Linked DNA regions of Schizosaccharomyces pombe. Changing the gene in region 1 together with any one later gene gives a genetic interaction. Each region holds a gene or a part of one and is shown on either strand. Other genes may lie near its edges. The genes, in order: art1, spn1 and spn4.

Region 1 (3,759 bases):
AGGAAGGTGTTTATATCTGGCGTGTTCGCTAACAACATCTAGCTGCTTGTCCGGTGTAACAATGTCAGAGTTTGGATTTGGAGAGGAGTTCGTAAAGTGCAGAGGAGAAGAAGAGAAAGGTGTAGGATTAAAAGAGTTTATTTCGTCAGCCTCAACGGAATTACCGTGGGATAATGTCGATGAAGTTGTTTCCTTAAAAACCGCAAGCTGTAACCGATTACTAACAGATAAATTTTTGGAAGACCGATGAGGTCGGGGGAAGTATCTCGAACGAGACACACGAAAGCTTGATGGAGATAATGCTTCGTCATGGATGTTTTGAGAATGCGTGTCAGAGGCAGGGGAAAATAGATTTTGAAGAGCAATGGGATCCAAAAATTTTTCATCCTTACTAGAATTTGTATATGAATGAGAAACGGTAGGTTTACTATTTCTGTCAAGAGTATTGTGAGAAGACATATCAGATTCGACCGTCACGTAACCACGTTCAGTCTTGGAATTTATGTGAGAAAACCGAGATTCAGGGGCTTTAGTAGAAGGCTCTAGTTTTGAATTTGTACTATTACTATTAGATGGTATCGCCTCGCCAGCGATGCGATCCAATTCAGAAATGGGAGTTTTTGTCAAAAAAAGTTTTGCATAAGTAACTGTACGAGAACAAATATTAACAAACGTGTTCAAAAATGTCTTTTTACGTTTCCTTTGATACTCTTCATATGTAATACAATCATCCTGACGCGTCCTTTTTGACGCATTGCGTTTTCCTATCATTCACGAGTGAATTGTAAAGGGTGAATCGCGAGAGGCTGTGACACACAACAACCTGGAAGGATGAGCGCGTTCTTGCTTACGTTGTGAAAATACCTCGTTATACGAGTATTGCGGTATTTACTGTAAACAAACTACTTTTTGTGTTTATATTACAATGTTTGGCTTTCGAGCCGCTAGCTTTGCTTGTAAGATTTTAAATTATGTTGCTTAACATGTAAGTGTCCGTTTATCTTTAGGGCCTACTGTGTTTGATTTCATTACACTAAAATCCTACTTCAATGTGGGCTATCACTACTTTTAGCCGTGAGAAGCTTACAAGTATATTAATGTAAATTAAATATCATATTGCTTTTATAAAATATACATTCATGACAGTACACTGTGTTACTCTTTTAAGCGTTTAATAAGTAAGTGGTAGCGTATCGCTACTAGTAAATTGTTTTAAGTTCTGATATATGCCCTGAAAATGAAAAGATAAATCGGAAAATGTGAGTTAGTTTTATACAAACCATTTAACACTTCCTGAAGGGATCTTTGAATGAACAGAAAGCCCTATATTCAGGTTATCCTTCAAACAATCATTATTTCCTAGATAGAAAAGAGTCGTACATCAGCAATGAATTTCCTCAATTATCGCCGGGGTTTTTTATCATACTACGGCTCATATAACTATCAAAAATTAGCATTACCAGTTGCTCTTGATTCTTGTTTTTCTCGATTTTGAATTTTTTGTTATGCATTGTCTGTTAACTATGCGTGAAATATCTGTTCTTTTAGAGATTCGTTTGATTTTTAGTAAAATAGTATTTACTTGCTTTATTTCCCTTTCTTCTGCTGCTCAATAATCTGATATCTTGCTATATTGTTTTCGTTTGAATTCAGTCTCTCTTCTATATTTCGTATATGTATGTTGCGATCAATCGTGTGTTATGGTTTCAAAAATTCAAAAATTCAAAAAAAAAGCCTTCTGCTGTAAGAATAAACATATTTTAGGCTTTCGTAAGTGAATTTTAAGTTGAAAATACCAATTTCAAAATTAGGCTATTAAAGTCATTTTAGTTTTTACTATTGTAATCAAAATGGAACTTTTTTACAACAGATACTAGCTTTAGATGCTTGGCTATCAATTGTAGGCTTTTGATTTTAATTCTATGGAATGGAAACAAAAGTACATTTTTTGGCCTAAAATTAGATTTTTATATAATAAAATATTATTAATTTCATTGCTATAAAAAGTCACTTAGCAGTGTTTAAGCGAGTGCTTAAAAGATTTTATTTAGCTATCTAGATCTGACATTGCTGCACTGAACCAACCTGTCTACCATTTGGTAGATTCAACTTCCCATAACCAGCACCAAGCCAGAGGAACTCACTAAATGTAAGAGCATGACATCCCCGTGTACGCTAATACGGCAATTTTCTCCTTTGGAGATACGTCCGTTACCACATTTGGATTTCCAAGCTGGATTTAATGGGATACCAACTTCAGCTCCAAGGTTGGTTGGTATCGTCCAAGTTCGAAGTAAAGAAATTCACCAACCTTTGGCTTTGGTTCAAATAACGTTAGAATTATGGAAAATTGAATCAGTGGTAATACCATCCTTGGGTATAAGTAATCACTTATCAGATAATAAGTGTCTGGCAAGGCAGGTTTTGTTTCCACTTCATTCCGAGCATCCTGAAAATAACATACCTCCTAATGATAATAATTATTCTATCAGCGATTTGTCTATCAAATCACCTCCACCCTCCCTTACTAGCGATTGGATAGTAGATTCTTATGCGTCTGATCAGGATAATCCTTCTGTTCATACTCATAACCGTACTACTCCACCTATCCCTCCACCTCATCTTCCTAATGCCTCTGGATCTTCGGTATATCAACCTCCTTACACTCCGTTTAGATCAGTATCCACCACATCTTCCTCTAATGACACATCTATCACTCCTTTTGGTGACCAAACTCCTATACTCTCTTCTTCTTCAGATCCTTACGCTACTCATAGGGTATGGTCAATGGACCTTCCCTTTGAAATCCCGTTTCCCGAAAATTCAGAAATTCCATCGACTTTTGAATTGAATCGGTCTGGTACAATATGCTCCACGAAATATGAACTACGTGCTCACATGAGTTTACTAGGGGTACCGGATATTACTACCACTGTACCAGTGTCACTCAGCAGGTATGATAATCTATCTTCTTGGGGGATGTATAATTCCCCTACTAATATTCGGCAAGTGAGTAGCGATGGTCGTGTTGTAGTAGAGGTATCAATACCCAAACTGTGTATTGGACCTTCGGATCTCGTCTCCGTCTTCGTTTCCATCATGCCTAATAATGGTTCTAAAATACGAGTACAGCAACTTTCTCTTTCCTTGGTTGAATACATCACGTTCATACATCCCTCTTCTTCAAGCCCAATAGTTCGTAAAAAGAAAGTATTACGTTACGAAGAAGATTTGGATGATATGAAACTTACATCGGAAGGTTTATCGAAAAGCCTTTCTAAACCTTTCCCCGACATTGATTTTGAAGATGCAAATATCACTGGATTCACGACCACCTCTGATCTTTACTCTGTACAATACATGCTAGTCATCAAAGTACAATTATATCGTGCTAGAAACATTGAAATAACAAACCCAATTATTGTTTCCCCAGTGGAACGATCACGAAGTCAAGCCTTACTTAATGAAATTCAAACCCGAGTCCTTGACGTTCGCCAAAGCCACGGAGGCGTTGTCCTCGAAGAAAACGTTAGGATTGTGCGAGCTTCAGATTTTTCCAAAAATAATATGTTTGCTTATTTGAATGATGACATTGTCCTGTTATCTTAGGAAGTTACATTTTTCAAGCTCAATCTGTGCTTTACTACAAATGTAAATCCCGATATTGTTGATCATAAGCCTTACCTCTGTATTTCCCTGTGTTTTTCGATATTTGCAAGCCTTTGGTTTGCAATTAAATACCCACTTTGTTTATTTATT
Region 2 (3,759 bases), on another chromosome or scaffold:
CTTATCGCCTGGACCTTTCTGAACAGCATTGATAGCATTCCGAAGTTCACGATGAACTTTTGCACCGTCCTTTGACGAAGGAACAATAAACCCTAAAGAAATTAAATTCCTCGGATAGTCAAGCTCAAGAAGATTTTTCCAATACTGTGGATAAAATCGAGCAATAGGAGTTAAGATTAACACCTCCTCTTTGTTACGAATGGGATCGGAAGATTCCGTAATTTTGTTCATATCGTATATTTCGTAAGAATTCCCCCCACGGTTTTCAATCTGAACTTTGGCATTTGAATTGACAGATGGAGTAAATAGGTAATAGATGAAAGTAATACCGAGGGCCACAAAAAGGAGCTGCCCTACAATTCTAGATTTATTGTACACGCGCATCTTAAAGTTTATAAATAAAAATGGAAGGGCACAATTTAATAAGAGTAATAAAAATAGAGAGTTAAAAATTAAAATCAACCCGAATCTGGATGTTGTTTTGTGGGTCTAAACAGAATCGAGTTCTTAAATAATTATGCGAATTCCTTAAAAAAGCAACGGCTAACAGCTGTAGTCGCGAAAGTAACACCTTATATATATAAATGTATTTCAACTAGTGAATACCCCGTTAATAAATACTTAAGATAATTTAAGCATTAATACAAACAAAGGATTATGTCGTACGTTCACGAATCAAGCTTGTACAGGTTTTGCCCCTATCGAGTAAAAACAAAGCCAAAGAAAGAAGTATTAAAAACGCTTTTTCGAGTAAAAGAAACTGTTTTTAAAATAAAAAATTTCCTCCAATAAACCCAGAATTTGAGTGTTTTCTTATATATTGGTTCGATTCCGCCGCCAGAGAACGCCTTTGTCCAGTATAATGTGTGGCTCTGGTTACGTCGAAAAGGAGGTGAATACCAGTTACCTTGATCCCATCTGTATTCATAACAACTAGAATTAATAGCGTAGTCACGCAAGATTTCGTTATTAAATTCAATTATAGATATTTCGATTTCTTAATATAAGACACGTACTTCTATATTGTGTTGATTAACGTCTTTTCACATTAATTTTTGACATATTATATTCATAGTTTTAACGACGACATACTGGGATTGCTTGCGTACCTTTACTGGAGTTATTCTTTCTCTGATACCAGCCACACAACACCGCGTTAAGTCATTCCGTGCTTTGATAGCAAGAAGAGCTGAAATAGCTAGAAGGAAAACAAAACAATGATTGACTATTAAATGCCTTTATTCAATTGAGTTTTAGAGCTTATACTGCAATTCGGAGACTGTAAACGCTGTTATAAAGACTAATATAATCGTTATTTAATTAGTAAAAATGATCCTATTATGTTAAATTTTTTTTTAACATTTTATTATTTATAATAAGTTCAAATTTATCTTAAAAGTCCTTTAAGATCAAAAATATACGGTAAACAAGCTTCTAATGTTTTAGTTTGATCTTACTTTTTCGTAGGAAAAGAAATATAGATATTTGTTTCTGAATCATCTATTAGCATGAAAATGTTGGCCAGGCAATAATTTCTAACTGTGTTTTATGTCTAATAATTAAATCTTTAAAATCGTTGAGGGTCACATTGTCGACGTACAAGTTCAATTGAATAAATAATCAGTTGTGCAATAAATTGGATTTGCATTAATGCTCAATTCAACGACTACTGCCCAAGGTTCTATATTAATAGAAAAATAAATATTTTAAATTAAATTCAAAAGATTTAGATGATTGCATGCTGAAAGGGTATTCAAACAAATAATTTAGGTATAAATAAAAGGTCAAAAAATGTTTTTAAACAAATACAGATAATGGATAATTTTAATTCATTAGATTTATCCAATTGTTAAAAAAAATAATTGTAAAATTAACAAGACAACTAAAACAATGGAATAACAATGTTTAGTATCTTTTTATTTAATGCATCCCAGCCGTGTATATTTCGAGGTTAAGGACCTAAATTCGACGCGACAGTGAATTAAGAAATTTCAAAAAAGCTCTATAATTTCGTGAAACATAATTAAGAAAAAAATTGGTTAAGTTTAATTTCCTACTTGAGCAAATAGATGTTCATGCTCGAGCTCCTAGCTACACTCTTCATCACATACATAACCACCAACACGGGGGTTTTCGATAATTTCTGACATGGCGTCAATGGTACTCGCGGATGGTATGCCTACAGTTAAAGATGATTCCACTAGAAGCAGGGGTTCCGACGTTGATTCTTTCACATCTACAGATAATGTAACGCAAATAAATGTTGAGGCAGCCATTTCAGAAAACAAGAATGAAGAAAAACCCATTCAGGATAATTCTGAACAAGAGGTAATCAATTATTTAAAATTCCTTTACTAATATTTAGTTCAATCCGCACGTTAGTATAATCCAGCGTCAGTTGAACGGATACGTTGGATTCGCTAGTCTTCCTAATCAATGGCATCGTCGTTGTGTTCGTCAAGGTTTTAATTTCAACGTATTAGTATTAGGGGAAAGCGGTTCAGGGAAATCTACACTTGTGAATACGCTATTGAATAGAGATGTTTACCCACCGACCCAGAAATCTTTAACTGGGGATTTTGGAGTGAACCCAGAACCCACTGTTATGATCAACTCTTCTGCAGTTGAAATAGTGGAAAATGGTATCAGTCTTCAATTAAATGTAATTGATACACCCGGTTTTGGCGATTTTATTGACAACACCGATTGTTGGCAACCAGTTTTGACAGATATCGAGGGTCGCTATGATCAATATCTTGAGCTTGAAAAGCACAATCCTCGATCTACTATTCAAGATCCAAGAGTTCATGCTTGTATATTTTTTATTCAGCCTACTGGTCATGCTATAAGTGCTATGGAGCTTCGAGTTATGTTGGCTTTGCACGAGAAAGTAAATATTATACCCATCATTGCGAAAGCCGATACACTAACGGATGATGAACTTAACTTTACGAAGGAAATGGTAAGCCCTAATCTTGATTTAAAGTTGCTAATGAAAAAATGATAGATTTTGAGAGATATCCAATACCACAATATCAGAATTTTCTTCCCTCCGACATATGAGACCGATGATCCTGAATCAGTGGCAGAAAATGCAGACATCATGAGTAGAATACCTTTTGCTATAATTGCTTCTAATACATTCGTGGTCAACAATGAAGGAAAGCGCGTCCGCGGGAGGCGGTACCCATGGGGCGTTGTTGAAGTCGATAATGAAGAGCATTCTGATTTCCCTAAGCTTCGTGAAATGCTTATTCGAACACACTTAGAAGAACTCAAAGAACAGACAAATAAGCTGTATGAAGCGTATCGTACTGAACGGTTGCTTAGCAGCGGAATATCACAAGATCACTCCGTTTTTCGTGAAGTCAACCCTAGTGCTAAACTCGAAGAGGAGCGTGCCTTACACGAAGAGAAATTGATGAAAATGGAAGCAGAAATGAAAACCATTTTTTCTCAGAAGGTTCAAGAAAAAGAAGATCGTCTTAAACAATCTGAAAACGAGTTACGTACCCGTCATCGCGAAATGAAGGCAGCATTGGAGAAGCAAAAAGCTGACTTAATTGATCACAAAAATCGGTTAATGCAAGCTAAAGCTGCGGCCGAAAATGAGAAGAGTAAAAGGAAGTTTTTTAAATAGTCTCCTTACTAGCTGATATTTATTTGTATGACACCGCAGTTCTACTGCTATCTCCTTCTTTGTTATTTAATTACTACTTAAAGTCCAATATTGGGCTGTATATCTTTCCTTGATTATTC
Region 3 (3,759 bases), on another chromosome or scaffold:
ACGCGTTAATATTATTTTTTGTACCCTGTATGTCATTTACCGTGCCTGTGTGTCCTTTGGAGTACTTCGGCCTATTTTCACTAAATTTCTGTTTTGCATAAATATGAAAGTTATCTAAGGGCCTGTCTCCTGGTTCTGTTTATCTAGCTGAGATGGCAAATGCACCGCAAATAGCAAATAACTGGTGTGTGATTTTAAGTTAGAATCAACTCTTGCAACATCTGTCCATTCGTAATTTCCATCACCTTCTCTAATGCGTTTGTTAGTAACGGGCTTTAACGCCGTTTCTGTGGACACAGAAGACTTGTTTTCACCAAGCATTGAATCGTTATCTTGATCTTCTACCTTCGCATCAGAAGATAAGTTTTGTTCACGCCTCATTTTTCTTCTCTCAAATCCTTCGATCCTCCTTCTTTTAACCTCTTTTAGCCTATCGATTGCTTCGTCAATATGAACAATTCGACTCTTACGAGCAGCCCATTGCTTATAATCAACTTCAATCATTTCAATATCACACCAGCCAAGTTCTCGTAGTGCTTCAGCAGAATGTTGAATTTGTTCTATACAAGGAGAAAAACAACAAATTCGAGTGCTTTTATCATGATTTACATGATTCGAAAGATGCGGTATTGCTTCCCAGGGAGCTGGAAGGTCTAAAAATATAGCGTCAACCTTTACCTCCGTATCCAAAAAACCATCTTTGCAGACATCTCTATGAGTTAGATGAGTATTTCCACCCACATCAATTAACATCTCGTGTTCCCGAAATTCTTGTAACGCTGTTTGATAGCGAGTTGCGTGATATTCGAAAGTAAATAATCTTCCAAGAGGGCCGACTGTTCGCGATATTGCGTGTGACATGCTAGCACTACCAGTACCAGCTTCTATTACTCGGGTTCCGTAAGTGATACGAAGCTTTTGGTGGATTAAAGCAATATCTGGAGTGTAAACAATTTGTGTTCTGTGAGGAAGAGCGAGGGTCCATAGTTCCGGAGTTGGTTGAAGAAGGTAAATAAATCCTTGCTTCGCTGTAGATGCAATTTGCTCGCCGTACCTTTTACCAATCATTTCGGAATGTGGGAAGGCACCATATTGATTATGAAATGTTTTTTCAGCTTCTATATGTAAAGGAATCAACTTGTTCCTACCAATCCAAGCTACTGCCAAATCGCCATTTTCAACACGTTGTTTATAGTCTGCAAATACCATTATAAATTTCAAAAAAACATATAATATATATATATATATATGTATTACGAAAAATTAGAAGGTAGTGTTATTTAATTGCGTTTTAACAAATCAATATAATTAGCCAAAGAAAAATTGGGACTTAATTTTTCGTTGGTCTAAATTACCGGGTGCATTCACGATTATTGAAGAGTTAATAAAATAAGTCAGTGTGAAGTATATGAAGATCCGCTCAAATCTGTAATTTTAAATCATACAAGACTGAAGTAAAGAAGTTTTTAAAACTAATGTGTTGAGATAAATTTTTTTAGTCTTTTCAAGATATTATGGTTAACCTATCCCTACGCCCACTATGCTATTATTTTAGTTAACATTTGTTTAGTGTAGCCATGTTTCATTAGTTAAATATTAATAACGATATCTCACATTAACTCTCAAAGCTACGAACGTAAAATTCGTTAAATAATTTAGAAAATGCTATCAATGCTGCCGTTAATTACTATGCTGCCACGAATTAACTTTACACTGCAACAAGTTAGTACTTGTATATCAACTAAAACAACGATTTTGATCATCATATTACCTGTGTAGTAACTATTTTCTTGAACAATATAATGAACATTAAATCAATAACTTAAATGCATACTTCCCAGCAATCTATTTCTGTTACGTAGTATAGAGGTTTTTATATATTTGCCAAGCATAATTTCTGGCATTCAGAATCTTTATGAAATTTAATGAGCAAACTAGTAATGATAGTTAGTATATTTACGAGACGAAAGCCCGTTAAAAATATAATGAGGTATAGTGATCATATAGTTATATCGCTAACGAGTGATTGCAACGAAGCTTCGATTATCTATTTACTTAGACCTTCCGTTTTTTACCATTTATGCTTTAATAAAACTAATAACAATTCTCTTGCATTTTTTGGAAACTTTTTTATTTAGTTTGGAAGCTTTTAAGTCAATATTTTACAGACCGTTAAACAAAGGAAATATACTATTCATCTCTGCGCGTCATGAATGAAGAAGAGACAAACTTCGTTGGAATTGCGGATTTACCTAATCAGCGTCACAAAATAGTTTCACGAAATGGTGTAGCTTTCACTTTGATGCTTTGTGGAGAGTCGGGTCTTGGTAAAACAACATTTTGTAATACACTCTTTTCAACAACAATTAAATCACATATGGGCCCGGAAAAGGTTCGTGCGAAGCATGCTGAGAAAACGGTCGAAATAGAGATTACAAAAGCTGAGTTAGAAGAAAAAAATTTCCACTTAAGGTTGACAGTAATTGATACCCCTGGTTTTGGGGATTTTATCAATAATTCAGGATGTTGGGAGTCGGTAGTTGAATTTATAGAAGACCAGCATGAATCGTACATGAGACAAGATCAGCAGCCAGATCGTCGTAAGATCATTGATATGCGTATTCATGCTTGCCTATATTTTTTGCGTCCCGTAAGAAATGGTGTTCGGCCTATGGATTTGGAGGCTATGAAACATATTTCTAAGCGTGTCAATTTAATTCCTGTCATAGCTAAAGCCGATATGTATACTCGAAGGGATTTAGCTCTGTATAAAACTAGAATTTCTCAAGTTTTAGAATACCATCAAGTCAATGTTTATAAACCTAATATGGATGAGGGCGATCCCGTTTTTCACAGACAAATTCAAGGAATCATTAATTGCATGCCATTCGCGATTGTTGGAAGCGAAGATGACATCCGTACTCCTGATGGTAGGGTCGTTAAGGGTAGAGAATACCCATGGGGAATTGTTGAAATTGAGAACGAAGAACACTGCGACTTTAAACAGCTTAGGAATATTTTAATTCGGAGTTGTATGCTTGATTTGATTCAAACTACTGAAGAAAAGTTGTATGAGCAATATCGACAAGAGCAGATGAAAGTTCGCCAGTATGGAGAACCTAAACTGCGGACTATTGATAATGCGAAATTTAAGGAAGAAGAAGAAAATTTGAGAAAAAGATTTACAGAACAAGTGCGCGTAGAAGAAACTCGATTTCGACAATGGGAACAACGCTTGATTGCCGAACGCGACTCATTAAATAAAGATTTGGAAGCTCAGCATGTTCAAATAAAACAAATTGAACTTGAAATCGAACGACTAAAGGCGGCTACCAGCTCTCGCAAACGTTAGAGATAATGTTAAAATATAACGAAACTTGATACCCAATTATCATTTGGGTTTGTTTGCTAGTGAACCATACTATCATCTTTTATGGTCCTTCATTTCTAATACATAATGTCAAACGTCTATCTTGCCTCCCGTATAAATTACATTCTTTAGACAATCAATTAACTATATGATTTTATTTTATTTTTTCTATGCCTTTATACACTCTTTTATTGTGGTTTTATTCAACGTATAGTACATATGCTTTCATAAGTTGCTCAATTTTTATATAATTTTGATATCGAATAAATTTTCTGTATCTTATAAAATTTCTTGCATAAGTACTTAAAATTTCTCGTTTTGTGTCTTTCTGAAATAAAATTGTGCAATGTGTGTTTATAGTCAATGCTTAATAATATGTTACAAATATT

What was found.
Region 2: mutations in art1 (region 1) and spn1 are lethal when combined (synthetic lethality), as found in Schizosaccharomyces pombe (one study listed by BioGRID).
Region 3: mutations in art1 (region 1) and spn4 impair growth when combined (synthetic growth defect), as found in Schizosaccharomyces pombe (one study listed by BioGRID).

Annotation. Positions count from the first base shown.
Region 1 is NC_003423.3:2,364,129-2,367,887, reverse strand, and holds the start of art1 (arrestin-related substrate adaptor for RhoGEF, Art1), read left to right. Parts: upstream 1-2,074; 5' UTR 2,075-2,157; coding exon 2,158-3,609; 3' UTR 3,610-3,759. Other genes in the region: SUMO deconjugating enzyme Ulp1, read right to left, coding at 1-771.
Region 2 is NC_003424.3:4,850,938-4,854,696, forward strand, and holds the start of spn1 (mitotic septin Spn1), read left to right. Parts: upstream 1-2,102; 5' UTR 2,103-2,148; coding exon 2,149-2,328; exon of another isoform or gene 2,329-2,365; coding exon 2,366-2,962; intron 2,963-3,007; coding exon 3,008-3,640; 3' UTR 3,641-3,759. Other genes in the region: mannan polymerase complex subunit Mnn9, read right to left, coding at 1-384. UniProt on the Schizosaccharomyces pombe protein: Plays a role in the cell cycle. Involved in a late stage of septum formation leading to the separation of the daughter cells.
Region 3 is NC_003424.3:1,991,380-1,995,138, reverse strand, and holds spn4 (mitotic septin Spn4), read left to right. Parts: upstream 1-2,057; 5' UTR 2,058-2,209; coding exon 2,210-3,352; 3' UTR 3,353-3,657; downstream 3,658-3,759. Other genes in the region: tRNA (m1A) methyltransferase complex catalytic subunit Trm61, read right to left, coding at 115-1,209.